3 linked regions of the Canis lupus familiaris genome follow. The protein of the gene in region 1 interacts with the protein of each later gene in a pairwise test. Links are inferred from orthologs where the notes say so. Each region holds a gene or a part of one and is shown on either strand. Other genes may lie near its edges.

Region 1 (4,295 bases):
GAACTGGTATTAGCCATCTCTTTGATCTTTACAACAATATAAGGAGGAAAATGCAGCCCAGAGAGGGTGAGCCACTTGCTTAAAGTTGCCCAGCCAATACGCAGCGGTGGAGGGGGTGGGAGGGTTGTGCAGCCTGGGTGGCTCAGCGGTTTAGCGCTGCCTTCAGCCCAGGGCGTGACCCGGGATGGAGTCCCCCATCAGGCTCCCTGCATGGAGCCTGCTTCTCCCTCTGCCTGTGTCTCTGCCTCTCCCTCTCTGTGTCTCTCATGAATAAATAAATAAAATCTTAAAAAAAGCCAACAATAAGCAGGGGGGCACGTTGTGCAGCTGAAGAGGATGTCACTCTTATGACAGGCCTTGCTGTGTGACCTCAGTGCAATCAGTTCATCTCTCTGAGCCCTGGCTTACCAACATGAGAGATTCTTATGAAGGGTAAGTCGTTAAACTGACAGCATTTCCCCTTCAAAGGGGACCTTGAAGAGGACCTAAAAAACCACACTCATGAGGATACCTTCATAGTCATCAGCAAAGGGAAGGGTCATTGCCATCACTTCATAGATAAGCAAATTGAGACCACAAGATGGGAGCTGTTTCTTCAAGATATTTGTGATAATTATGAGGCCGAGTAGTTTATCTTATTTAATACCCACAACAACTCTGTTGTTCATGATCATCATTCCCATTCTAGAAACAGAAGAACTGAGGCCAGGATGGAACCAGCCAGGATGTGAGCCCCAGTGCAGGGCCTTCCAGGGCTGTACTGTCCCATCCAAGGAGACAGGGGGATGGGAAAGGGGATGGAGAAGACAGATGGGGAACTGAGGGGGAGGGAAAGGAAGGGATGGAAGCGGGGAGGTGGGTGGACACCAAGGGAGAATGGCCTGTGGGCCACACAACTCACGGTAGCCAGCGTTGTTGACTACACAATCCAGACGGCCAAAACGACGGACAGTCTCAGAAATGAGAGTCTGAGGACAAAGAGGTAAGTGAGCAGGGCTGGCACCCAGCCTTGAGGATCCTGGACTCCCAAAAGCAAAGGGGAAAAAAAAAAAAAAAAGCAAAGGGGGAGGTGGATCACAGCCAAGGTGAAGGGAGCTACAGGAAGTGGGGGCTTCCCCTAAATCACCAGAGGGCTGGATATATTCACACTGCAGAGACCTGGTGTCCGGGTGGGGGGCAGAGGGTGGACATCAGAGAGACATTGACCGAAGTGAACGGATAGAATCCCAGAGGCGGGAGAGGAAGACTCTTCCAGAAGGAGATCCACTGTGAGGGATTTTTGTTGTTGTTGTTCCAGTCTATGTGACAGGTGTGACAAGAGCTCCATAGTGAGAGATAAAGGAGAAACTTTGCAGGAGACCCAGAACCTGGCCAGCAGAATCAGGGAAAGTCCGGAGCAGCAGTCTTTGGGGCCAGACAGGGTCAAGAATAGCTCACCTGCACATCTTTCTCCCGGGTCACATCACAGAGGATAAAGACAGTTCCAGTAAGCTCCTGCTCCAGGGCCCGGCCCCCAGACTCTGCAGGGAGAGAAGGGCTGGGGTCCAGACTCCTAGGTCTGAGGGAGGAGGGGCTGGGGTCCTGATTCTTGGGTCTGAGAGAGGAAAGGGCCTGGGGGCCCAGACTCCTGGGTGTGAGGGAGGAGGGGGCTGGGGTGAGGACCAAGGGACGCTCACTCACCATCTTTGTCACAGATAACCACTTGGGCCCCGTTTTGCACTGAGAATGGAAAAACAGGTTACTCCAGCACAGATCTTGGCAAAGGCCTCTGCTGCCCTCCTGTGGCCACCTGGAGTGGGGCCCATCTTTCCAAACGTTCCCCTCATGACCCCAAAGTCCCATGATGTTCCTCTAGAGCAAAGGGCAGAAGACTTGACCCATATTCTCCTTGGCCACTGTAGGTGCCTGCTGGGGTTCCTGAGCCCCCATCCCTGGGTTCCAGAATAAACCCGAAACCTGCAAGCCACATTCCCCCAGCCACCCCCACTTTGTAGATAGAATAACTGAGACCCAGAAAAAGAGAGTAACCATTTTTGGAGAACTGCCAAAAGCTCAGGCCCCAGGCTTAGGCTGTCAACCCTTTCATTAACATTGCAAATTGGGTTTTTATAGGCTAAGAATCTTGACTCCAGTACTGAAGTTCCCACACCCACTAGTTCCCAGGGTCCCTCCGCTCCCAATCTCTAATATTCCCCAAGTAGCCAGACCCTGACTCGCCAGACCCCTACTCACCGAAGGCTCTCGCGATCCCGGCTCCAATGCCGCGCCCGCCTCCTGTCACAACCACCACCTTCCCGGCATAGCGCGTCCCTGTTGCCATCCTGCTTCTGTCTGACTCTCCCTGTCACTCACTCTGCTTCTTTCCACCTCCACAGTCCAGTGAGGCCGTGGAGCAGAACCATAAATAGGGGCTGGATCCTGGAAGGCCGGCCCTGGGGGGGCGTTGCCAGGAAGGCCAGAAGCCTGGAAGTTTGCCCCCGCCCCCTCCTCCCTCAGACCCAGTTGTCTGGGGCCTCAGCTCCTCCTCCCTCAGACTCAGGAGCCCAGGCAACCAGCCCCTCCTCCGTCAGACCTAGGAGCCCAGGCCCCCAGCCCCTCTACTCTCAGACCCTCAGGCCCAGGAGTCCGGGTCCCCAGCCCCTCCACTCTCGGACCCAGGAGTCTGGGCCCCCAATCCCCTCCTTCCTCAAACTCAGGATTTATGGCATCCAACCCCCTCCTCCCTCAGACCCAGGAATCTAGGCCCTGCTTCTCCTTTTCCAGACCTACAGGTTTCAGACCGTCAGGACGCAGGAGGCCACGGCTCCAGCTCCGCCCTGAAGAGACCCCAGTGTCACAACCCCAAACAGACAGAAATTTATTGACTAAAAGTTCAAAGTTTTAATCCGAATTTGGACAAGTGTTGGGAAAACCAAACTTTGGCCCTGGAAACGTCTCCCACCCTAGGCCACCGCGGGGACCAGATCACGCCCCCCGGCGCCGAGAGCGGCTCCCGTCTCGGGGCGGTACCCCCGGGTCACGCCCCTCCCGCTCCGATTGGCTGCGGCGCTGGGGCGGGTCAGAAGCTGGACTGCAGCAGCGTGACTCGCAGAGGCCACGCCCCCTCCTCCTGGGTCAGGGCCGGGGGGGCGGTCCCGGATTCCCACGTGGGCTCCCAGGAGGCGGGGCCTGCGCCGCGCTCCCCACCTCCGCGGGAGAACCCGGCTGAGTGGGAATTAGCCACTGGAGATCTCGGGGGCGAGGTCCCCTGGGGGGTGGGGTCTGACGGAGGCGGCGGCGCAGGGGGAAGAGGGTCTCCTCGGGAGTCCAAGTTTCCACCTAGACAGCACGAGTGGGAAGTGAGAATGGCAAACTTGGGGACCCCTTTCCTCTCAGACCGAGGAGTCGAGCCCCCAGTCCCATCCTCCCTCAGACCCACAGGTCTGGCCCCACTCCCTTCCCCCGCCCCCCTGACCCAGGAGTCTTGAACCCCTGTCCCCTCCTGCCTGGGATCTGGAACTCCCAAGCCCTCTACGGCACTCTTCTCATCCAGACATAGGATTCCCAGCAGCTCTCACACTCCTCCGACCAGCAAGGACTCCAGGCTCTGGCTCCCTCTTCCCTAAAACCCAGGAGTCCAAGGTCCCCCAGCCCCTCACCTGTCATCAATCTGTGCCACTGCGACGCCTCAGTAGCCAGAGCATGAGAGAGGCTGAGGACTCGCTCCCGGTGACCTTCGGCTGTCGGCAAATAAGGGGTGGTGTTCCTGGGGCTAGAAAAAAAGAGAGAGGGATCCCTGGGTGGCTCAGCGGTTTAGCGCCTGCCTTTGCCCCAGGGCGTGATCCTGGAGTCCCGGGATCGAGTCCTGCATCGGGCTCCCTGCGTGGAGCCTGCTTCTCCCTCTGCTTAAGTCTCTGCCCCTCTCTCCCTCTGCTTAAGTCTCTGCCCCTCTATCTCTGTCTATCAAGAATAAATAAATAAATAAAATCTTAAAAAAAGAAAAAAAGAGATTTGGGGTCTTCTACAGTTAGCTAGTACCGCAGTGCCACGCGCGTCTTTCTGGGAGTTGTAGTCCCAAGCACGTGTCCCTAGAGGACCTTAAACACGGCGTGGCCTTCATAAACGTCCGTGTGCATTGTGGGATTTGTAGTCTATTCCCGACTAAAGTCCACCTGCTTTCCTGACGCAGGAGCAGAGTTTGCTATACCCCCAGTTCTGCAGTTTGGGGAGCTGCAGTTATCATGCGGACCTAGGGCTTTCTGATGCCCCAGGAATTCAAGAATCTCTAAAAGGTTCTTCAGTCTGTACCCGAGTAC
Region 2 (4,023 bases), on another chromosome or scaffold:
TGCCTTCGGCTCAGGGCATGATCCTGGGGTCCCGGGATTGAGTTCCACATCAGGCTTCCTACATGGAGCCTGCTTCTTCCTTTGCCTATGTCTCTGCCTCTCTCCTCTCTCTCTGTGTTTCTCATGAATAAATAAATAAAAGCTTTAAAAACAAACAAACAAACAAAGAATAACAAGTGTTGGTGAGATGTAGAGAAAAAGGAATCCTCATGCACTATTGGTAGGAATTTACCTGGTGGCGCCACTGTGGAAAACAGTATGAAGGCTCTTGAAAAAAATAAAAATATAAATACCATATGACCCAGTAATTCCACAACTAGGTAGTCACCCAAAGAAAAAAACACTGCTTCCAAAAGATACATGCATCCCTATGTTTACTATGGCATTACTTAAAATAGCTAGGATATGGAAGCAACCCAAGTGTCCATGGATAGATCAATGGATAAAGAGGTGTATAATGGAATATTACTCATCCATAAAAAAGAATGACAGCTTGCCATTTGCAATAACATGAATGGACCTAGAGGGTATTATGCTAAGTGAAACAATTCAAATAGAGAAAGACAAATACTATATAATTTCACTGATAGTGGAATATAAAAAGCCAAACAAATACAGAGAACAAACTGACAGCTGCCAGGAAAAGTGGGGAGGGGGACAAAATGGGTGAAGGAGAGTAACAGGTACAGGCTTCCAATTGTGAAATAAATAAATCATAGGGATAGAGGGACAGCATAGAGAATAAAGTCAATGGTAATGTAATCAGTATTATTACTAGCCTGTGTGGTAACAGATGGTTGCTACACTTGTGGTGAGCATAGAACATATAGAGCTGCCAAATGGCTACGCCGTACATCTGAAACCAATGAAGCATTGTATGTTAACTATACTTCAATAAACCCAAATTCAAGGGGCACCTGGATGGCTCAGTTCATTGAGCATCCAACTCTTGATTTTGGCTCAGATCATGATCTCAGGGTTTTGGGGGGAAAAGTCATCTTAAATAAAATCTCTGTAATCTTCAAAAGATAATAGTAATAATAACCTTTGTTCTTAAAAAAAGGACTTTTGTGTTTGTCTTTTAATTCCATTTTCCCAGTAATTAACTAGTATCCTCTTTTACAAAAATATGGATCTGTCAAAAATTAGAAACTGAAAACAAAAGTCTGAAAAACTATCAGAGTTTTCACCTTGCACTGGAATCTAAGTAGATCAACTGTACCTTTGTAAACACACATTTAAAAATAAACACACACAAAAAAATAAAATAAAAATAAACAAAATATATAAAAATAAACACAAATCTGAATACAGAATGGACATTAGAAGTTATGTATTTGCTGCTAATTTCCTTTAGGTGCAATAATACCACTCTGCTTATGTAAGAGAATAATACTTAGGGGAGCTATATGCTGACGTATTTAGGTCTGAAACTTACTGAATGGTTCAGCAATAGAAAAAGACTTGCAGCAGGTATCTCACACAGAGCAAAAGCAAATTCAGCCAAATGTTAACAATGATTGGATTTAGGGGGTGGGGTGATAACAATAAGTACTCTTGTGAATAACATAACGTTGAAAGATGTCTTAAATAAGTACCACACAATAAAAGTCAAGTCCTTCCATACCCCAAAGTCACTAGGTCAGTATTCTCCGGGACGACATCCGGATCCTCGCCCTCCTCAAGGCACTTGAGTTTATCAACGCTGAAATACAAACAAAAAAGGAAAAACAATCATCCATCTTGTCCACAACGATCAGGGTTGTGTCCTAAATACATCATTAAACAATTAAGTCAGGTGAAATCCAGCAGACGGGGTTCAGATGCGGCCAGAATTCCAGACAATGATATCTGTGCCGATAGTCTATCTACAAAGAGGATACACGGCCGATTGATGTATGGCGGCCGATACTATTAAATAGATCGTTAAAGCTTTTTTTTTAATATTTTTTTTAATATTTTCACCCTATAAAAGGCCCTTGGGGGGGATATTTTCAGTAACTGCACACCCGGAGGTCCCCATTAGGAACCACGGTTAATCAAAGGTTTTAACACTCCCCTGGTTAAATTTCCTCCCAGGCTGGCTCAGCATTACGAAGGCTCCTCCATTGTCAAAGTGTCTTTTCAATGGCAGCTACACACCGCCGTTACTCTGATCGCCCTTCTATATATTAGCAAGCACTTAAACAATTAACCGGTAGAAAAATTAATCTTTGTAGGCAGCTCTTCCGTCCCTCCGCTCCCACTTGAGAGGTTGTGCATTCCGATCACCGGACTCCTCCCGGGGTTCCAGGACAGCTGGAGCAGGCGGAACGCCTCGGAAGGGCGGTCCTTCCACCTCCGGGAGTCCGCGCACAGGCCCTCCCGAGGGGGAGTCCCAGGGGAGCGCAGGAGCAAGGCTGCATCCAGGCCGGCTCCCAGCAGCAAGAGGCCCTCCGCACCGCACTCACCCGCACACCGTCCGCAGCTCGGCCGCGGCCTCAAGGCTGCAGCCCAGATCCCGGGCCACCGCAGCATCCTCCTGGCCCCAGTCCGCGACACCGTGGCTCCCAGGCAGCGCGGATTCCTGAGGCTCCTTCAGCGACAAGTCCCCTTCCCTGCGCAACCGGCCACGCCACAGCTCCCCGAAGGCGCCCACATGGAAAGCGCGCGTGTTTAGCTCGGGAAGCTCGTACTCTGGGAAGTTGCAGCTCCCGCTGCTGGAGACCGGGTCCTGCCTGCCTCCCATTCCTCCGCACGCTCTGCCGCCCCGGGTGCCTTCAGCCATGTTCGCCCCACTCCTTTCCCTGCAAAAGCCGGGCGAGCAAGAGGCCGCGGAGCGTGATGGGACTTGTAGTTGCACCGGGCTCGGTCCGAAGAGCGGCGGGGCTGCGTGGGCGCGGCTTTCAGACACTGCATTTCCCAGCAGGCCCCGGGCCGGGCACGCCCCCGGGCGCGGTACCGCGAGCTTCCGCGCGAAGGGCTGAGCGCATTGTTCTCCGCTCGCGGCGCTGCGGCGAGCGGTCGGCTGAGCTCGGTCTCCCGGTACCGTGTGTCGCGTTCCCGTCCCCCACCGTCCCGTGGCATCGCTCTCCGCCAGACGGGGCGGCCTCTGTGCGCCCTTCGAGCCCGTTCGTTGCGGTTGCTCGGCCCGGGATGCGGGGCTTTTCTTTGCCTCCGGGGCTCGTGCGCTGCGCTGCTGCCTCACCGTCCCAAAGCTGGAGCGACCTGCGCTGCGAGGGCGGAGACCGCGGGCACGCCCGGCCCTCCAGATCCGGGTCGTTAGAAAGTCTCCCCAACAGCTGCATCTTCTTGTGTTTATACGCATGCATTGTGCTGTACACGCTTAGAATAGTGTGTATTGAGAGGCAACTACGTATTAGATACTGTACGGTATTAACCCTAATGTGTGTTTTTAAAAATCATGACCTTCCCGGGCAAGGATTGTCATGCCCATGGTACCACTGAGGAAGGAGTTAACTATAAGGAAATAGAAGCAGGATTGGAACTGTCTAGCTTCAGGCGGAGCTTTTCCCATGGCTCGGAGACTCGAAAGGATGGAACAGGACATATAAGGAGCCTTGGTTATTTATTTATTTATTTATTTATTTATTTATTTATTTATTTATTTATTGGTATATTATTCATACATCATATATATTTAACCCATTTAAAGTGCTCATTCAATGGTTTCTAGTGTATTTACAGAGTTATGCAACCATCACCATAACCAATTTGAGAATATCTCAACCACTCCAAAAAGAAACTTCTTACCTTTGAGCTATGGCCCCCAATCCTCTCAACTCTTCCAGCCCTAACCCAACCGCTTCTCTTAGTCTCTGTAGATTTAAGATTTACAAGTCGATTTAGTATAAGTGTTAGATTTATCTGGTCTTTTGTGATTAGCTTCTTTCATTTAGCATAACGTCTTCAGGGTTTATCTATACTTTGCTTGTACCTACTTCATTTCCTTTTATGGCTGAATAAAATTACATTGTGTGATATACCATATTCTGTTTGTTCATCAAGAAGTTGATTCTATTT
Region 3 (4,262 bases), on another chromosome or scaffold:
TTTATTTTAATTATTATTATTTTTTTTTATGATAGTCACAGAGAGAGAGAGAGAGAGGCAGAGACACAGGCAGAGGGAGAAGCAGGCTCCATGAACCGGGAGCCCTATGTGGGATTCGATCCCAGGTCTCCAGGATCGCGCCCTGGGCCAAAGGCAGGCGCCAAACCACTGCGCCACCCAGGGATCCCTGGAGTGAGCCTTTTAAAACTCTAGTCAGGTCCTGTCAGTCTGTTCAAAACTCTTCAAGGACTAAAGTTCATGAATATTAAAGGCTAAAGGTCCTTAATATGGCTTAGAAGGCCCCACACAATCTCCTTCCCTGCCCTGGATTTCTCATTGACCACTCTCCCTCTAGTCCGTCCAGCTGGCCTGCTCCCTAAACTCTGCACACTCCCACCTTAGGACCTCTGTTCTCACTGTTCTTTCTCCTGGAAAGCTCTTCCTTTCACAAATCTGCACAGCTTACTACTTTGCCTCTTTTCAGAAGTTTCATTTAAATGTCACCTCTGTGAGAGAATCTCTAATGACTCAAGGTAAACATCCTGGGCATTCACTACCCTTCCATGCTTTGGTTTTCTCCTTGGCACTTCTATATTTGTTCGCTGTGCACCTTTTCCCACGAAATGTAAGCTCTGTGAGAACAGGTCTTTTCCTTGTTCGTAGATGCATCCTGGGCCTAAAATGTGTGGCACATAGCAGGTGTGTAATAAGTAATTTGTGAAGAATGAAAGAATTCTCCCCAGTGTCTCATAGGGAAGGGAGGAGGAAGCCCAGAGGCAGAGCAGCAGCTGCCCAGCCCTGGGGACTGGAGATGCAATATCTCCCAGAGTGTTTCTCTTCAGGGCTGTCCTCCCTGGGGGACCCTCCTTGCCTTCCAGCGTGTGGGATGCCGCTTTCATCAGCAGTGGGGCCCCAGGCCAGAGGGCTGCAGAGCCAAACAGGGGGCTGGCCTGATGCAACGGTTACACAGAAATTAGCTGGGAGGCAGGACGCGGGGAAAGCAGCAGGGACAAATCCCTGCGGAAGGACCCTACACTGGGGAGACCCCAAATGGCTTCCCACACTTAAGGGATCCAGAATGCTCTCTTGTGCAGGAGGCCCCCGGGACCTCTGGGGGAATGGGAAAACCCATCTCTGCTCCCTAGCCATTGGCATCCCTCCTCCTCCCAAAGTCTGGAGTCTGTCTCCTTAAGGTTCTCTTCTCCGTTAGGGTGTGGAATGGCTGTCCTGTGCAGGACCCAGGAGCTCCATCCACCGACGTGGCCACTCTGGCCCTGAGACGCTGGGCTGAGACAGGATTGGGGGTGGGGTAGGGGCAGGGCCGCTGGTGGGAAAGTGGCGGCAAGGGCGTGAGCCAGAGCCATCCAGGCGTCTCGGCGTGGGGGAGTGTCCTGCCGCCCCGCCTCCCACCGGACAGGACCAAGGAGGCGGCCTAGGGCAGCAGCGGAAGACAGGGAGTCTCCCGAGGGCATCCGGACCCCTTAGCCCGACGGCCCAGAGCCGGGCCCGCGCTCCGGGCAGGGTGGGGCGCCGCTCCCGTCCGAGGGAAGAGAGGTCTGTAAGCACCACTCCCGGATAAAGGATGCTCCCCGTCCCTCCCTCGAACTGTCACTAACTTCGTCGGGGAACGGGTGGGGCCGCATCCTGAGCAGCTGATGCCCCAACTTCGAAGGGACAACCAGCATCCCCGAGGACTAGAGGGTAAAGAGCAGGTGGGATCGGTACTCGCCTCTCTCCTCAGGTTCCGGCTCTGACTGTGGCTCTGTGGCTGCCACCCGCTCATCTTCAACATGATCCGCTCTGTGCCTTACACTCAAGCCTCTGACCTCGGAGGCCCGAGCGCGGATGTTTTAAGGAGGCCCTGCCCTCCCCTCGGGGGCGGGCCCGCAAGCCTGCCAATCAGGGCGCGGCACGCCGGCGCTGGCCCCGCCCCGCCCCCCGCGCCCGCCACTCAGCAGCCCCCGCGGCGCCGCCCCCTTCGCTCCCGCCGGCCCGGGGGTAGAGGTGGTGTCGGACCCGGAAGTGGCTTTGGGTCACGAGGCTCCGCGGAGGAGGCGAGTGAGTCATGCGCGCGCGCGGAGGGGAGAGCTGGGGGGGAGGGGAGGAGGGGAGGAGAGGGGGGCGGGGATGATGCAATGTTTGGCAACCGGTGTCTCGGCGCGCACGCGCAGGGGCCGACGAGGGTGGTGGGCGGTGCGGGGGGGTGGGGGAGAGGAGAGGGCGGGGCGCCAGCGCCGGGCTCCCAACGGCCCCAACGGCTCCCAACCGTGGCCGCCCTCAGGCTGCCTGCGAAGCCGCGCTGCGGCTCGTCCTCCTCGGCGCCCTTATTCCGCCCACCTGGCGTTAGCCCCCGCCTCGCCGTCTGCATGGGGGGCTCCCATTTTGCTCGGTCCCCTCCTAGTTAGTGGGCGCGAGGTCTTCTAAGCCAATCTCTTTTGAAAGTTTGCATGCAGCCACAGGACCGCCTAACGTCTCCTCGAGTAGGCGCATAGAAAGATCCCGTTTAGCTCCCTAATTCCCCCAGAAGGGGCCGAGGAACTTGAGTACTTTTGATGGTCATTTTCAGCTCCTCGCCGAAAAGCACCCCTAACTTTTATCTTTGTGAAGTTTCTGATGAGCGCTCAGCATGCCAGGATTCAGGACTTGGCCCGGTGGACGCGATTCTCAGCCTCCCCCCCCCCCCCCCCCGTACTCTGGTGCCTCCACCAAGGATCAAGACCCGCCCTTTTCGCTGTACCAGCCGCGCAGGTCCTGTGACTCCTGCGTGAGGAGCCGTGCACCCGCCGCCTGCCGCCTCGGTGCTCGGGCGACCTTAGAGCCTCGTTGCCTGGGACGTTGGGTGCACTTGAGCGCGCAGCCGCCTTGCACCGGGTTGTCAGGAGCCCAGAGTCTGGCCTCACCTGCCCCTTTACTTGCCCCCTAATATCTGTGCCACAACCGTTCTTGTTTGTAAATAAAGGATGACGAGTTGTGAAGGTAAAACGAGAGCACTATGAACTTGGAGGCAGCTTAAACAAAAGTGAAAAGCATCGCTTAAAATGCAAACGTTTTTCTTGTGCCATTAGAGAGAAAAAAGATGCCATGTGGCGGCCGGTTGTATTCACTGTCATACCCTCACGGGGGCAGCCAGAGTTAAGTAGAATCTGTCACAAGGCCGGTTGTGGCTGCAAGGAGGTTTAGGTGGTGGTGTGACGGTGACAGGTCCTCGGCCGGGCCTGCTCCGTTGCTCCAGACCTCCATTTCCCCTTCAGTAGATGGGGGTGGGGGTGGGTTGGACCAGATGGTCTCTCCTGGCCCAAAGACATGACCAGGTTGTCAGTGACAGGCAGAGGTCATGTGACTTGACAGGCGGAGGTCCTGTTGTGACATGTTGACCTGGGGAGGCGGGTCAAGTCCCAGCACACTACCCGGGAAGCCTTTGGGGCGGGGCAGGGCAAGTCGCGACTTTCATCTTTTGGGGCCGGCCCCTCCCGGACCCGGCATTCCTGGCTCCCCCGACAGACTGTGGCTTTGGAAGGGGCCCCTCCCCGGGGAGGGCTGGGATTGGCCGCCGGTGGCCTGGGAAGAGGCTCAGATCCTTCCGCGGAGGGCGGGGGGGCCGCGTGGGGTGTTTGTTCTCTTGGGGATTAATGGGGGGTTGTGGGGGAGGGGTAGGCGCGCTCCCGCATGCGCACTGCGGCCCCTCCTGTTGGCTCGTCGTTGTCCGCTGGGCGGGGGCCCGGCCCCGCCCCTCTCCCGTCCGGGCAGCGGCGGCGGCGGCGGCGGCGGCGGCTGCGGCGGCGGCGGCGGCAGCGACGGCGGCGGCGGCGGCGGCAGCCTGCGCGGTGCCTTCTGGGAACGGAATCCCCAGGGCTGCCCCTGGCCCCCATGGCGCATGCGCGGGAGGCCGCTCGGTGATCCGCGGCGGCGGCGGCGGCGCTTCCTGCTAGGACCGGCCGGGGCCGTACCGGAGGCTCGGGCTCCGCCGACCCTCCTCCCACTCCCTCCCACTCACCCTCTGGGCCGCGACTGCGCAGGGCGGGGCCGGCCGAGCCATGGGCCGCGGTGAGTGCAGGGCCCGGCCCCCCCGCCCCTCCCCCTCCCCTCCCCTGCTGTCCCTACCCTCTGCCCCCCGCGTCCTCGGCCCCTTTCCCGGCCCCATCCCCGCCCCCCCGCCCTCACCTGCCCCCGCCGTCTCTCCCTCGCACTGCTTGACTTTTGCCTTCTTCACCTCCCTCCCTCAGTGCTTCGCCCACCCTCCGCCCGCCCTCTCCCCAAGTTCC

The links. The genes of interacting proteins can lie anywhere in the genome.
Region 2: the proteins of HSD17B14 (region 1) and SNAPC3 interact in binary tests that used the Homo sapiens proteins (3 or more experiments, as listed by UniProt). The two-hybrid records come from large-scale screens. The link is inferred for Canis lupus familiaris from reciprocal best matches to the Homo sapiens genes HSD17B14 and SNAPC3.
Region 3: the proteins of HSD17B14 (region 1) and DDIT3 interact in binary tests that used the Homo sapiens proteins (3 or more experiments, as listed by UniProt). The two-hybrid records come from large-scale screens. The link is inferred for Canis lupus familiaris from reciprocal best matches to the Homo sapiens genes HSD17B14 and DDIT3.

Annotation. Positions count from the first base shown.
Region 1 is NC_049222.1:108,190,608-108,194,902, reverse strand, and holds the start of HSD17B14 (17-beta-hydroxysteroid dehydrogenase 14), read right to left. Parts: upstream 2,802-4,295; 5' UTR 2,770-2,801; intron 2,433-2,769; 5' UTR 2,321-2,432; coding exon 2,233-2,320; intron 1,720-2,232; coding exon 1,681-1,719; intron 1,521-1,680; coding exon 1,438-1,520; intron 969-1,437; coding exon 902-968; intron 1-901. Other genes in the region: PLEKHA4 (pleckstrin homology domain-containing family A member 4), read right to left, coding at 3,059-3,318, 3,639-3,751. UniProt on the Homo sapiens protein: Catalyzes the NAD(+)-dependent oxidation of L-fucose, yielding L-fucono-1,5-lactone, which rapidly converts spontaneously to L-fucone-1,4-lactone. Can also act on D-arabinose and L-galactose, with lower catalytic efficiency. Does not use NADPH.
Region 2 is NC_049232.1:35,760,296-35,764,318, reverse strand, and holds the start of SNAPC3 (snRNA-activating protein complex subunit 3), read right to left. Parts: upstream 2,840-4,023; 5' UTR 2,768-2,839; coding exon 2,451-2,767; intron 1,706-2,450; coding exon 1,628-1,705; intron 1-1,627.
Region 3 is NC_049231.1:1,963,454-1,967,715, forward strand, and holds the start of DDIT3 (DNA damage-inducible transcript 3 protein), read right to left. Parts: upstream 2,840-4,262; 5' UTR 2,738-2,839; intron 2,059-2,737; exon of another isoform or gene 1,976-2,058; intron 1,880-1,975; exon of another isoform or gene 1,730-1,879; intron 1-1,729. UniProt on the Homo sapiens protein: Multifunctional transcription factor in endoplasmic reticulum (ER) stress response. Plays an essential role in the response to a wide variety of cell stresses and induces cell cycle arrest and apoptosis in response to ER stress.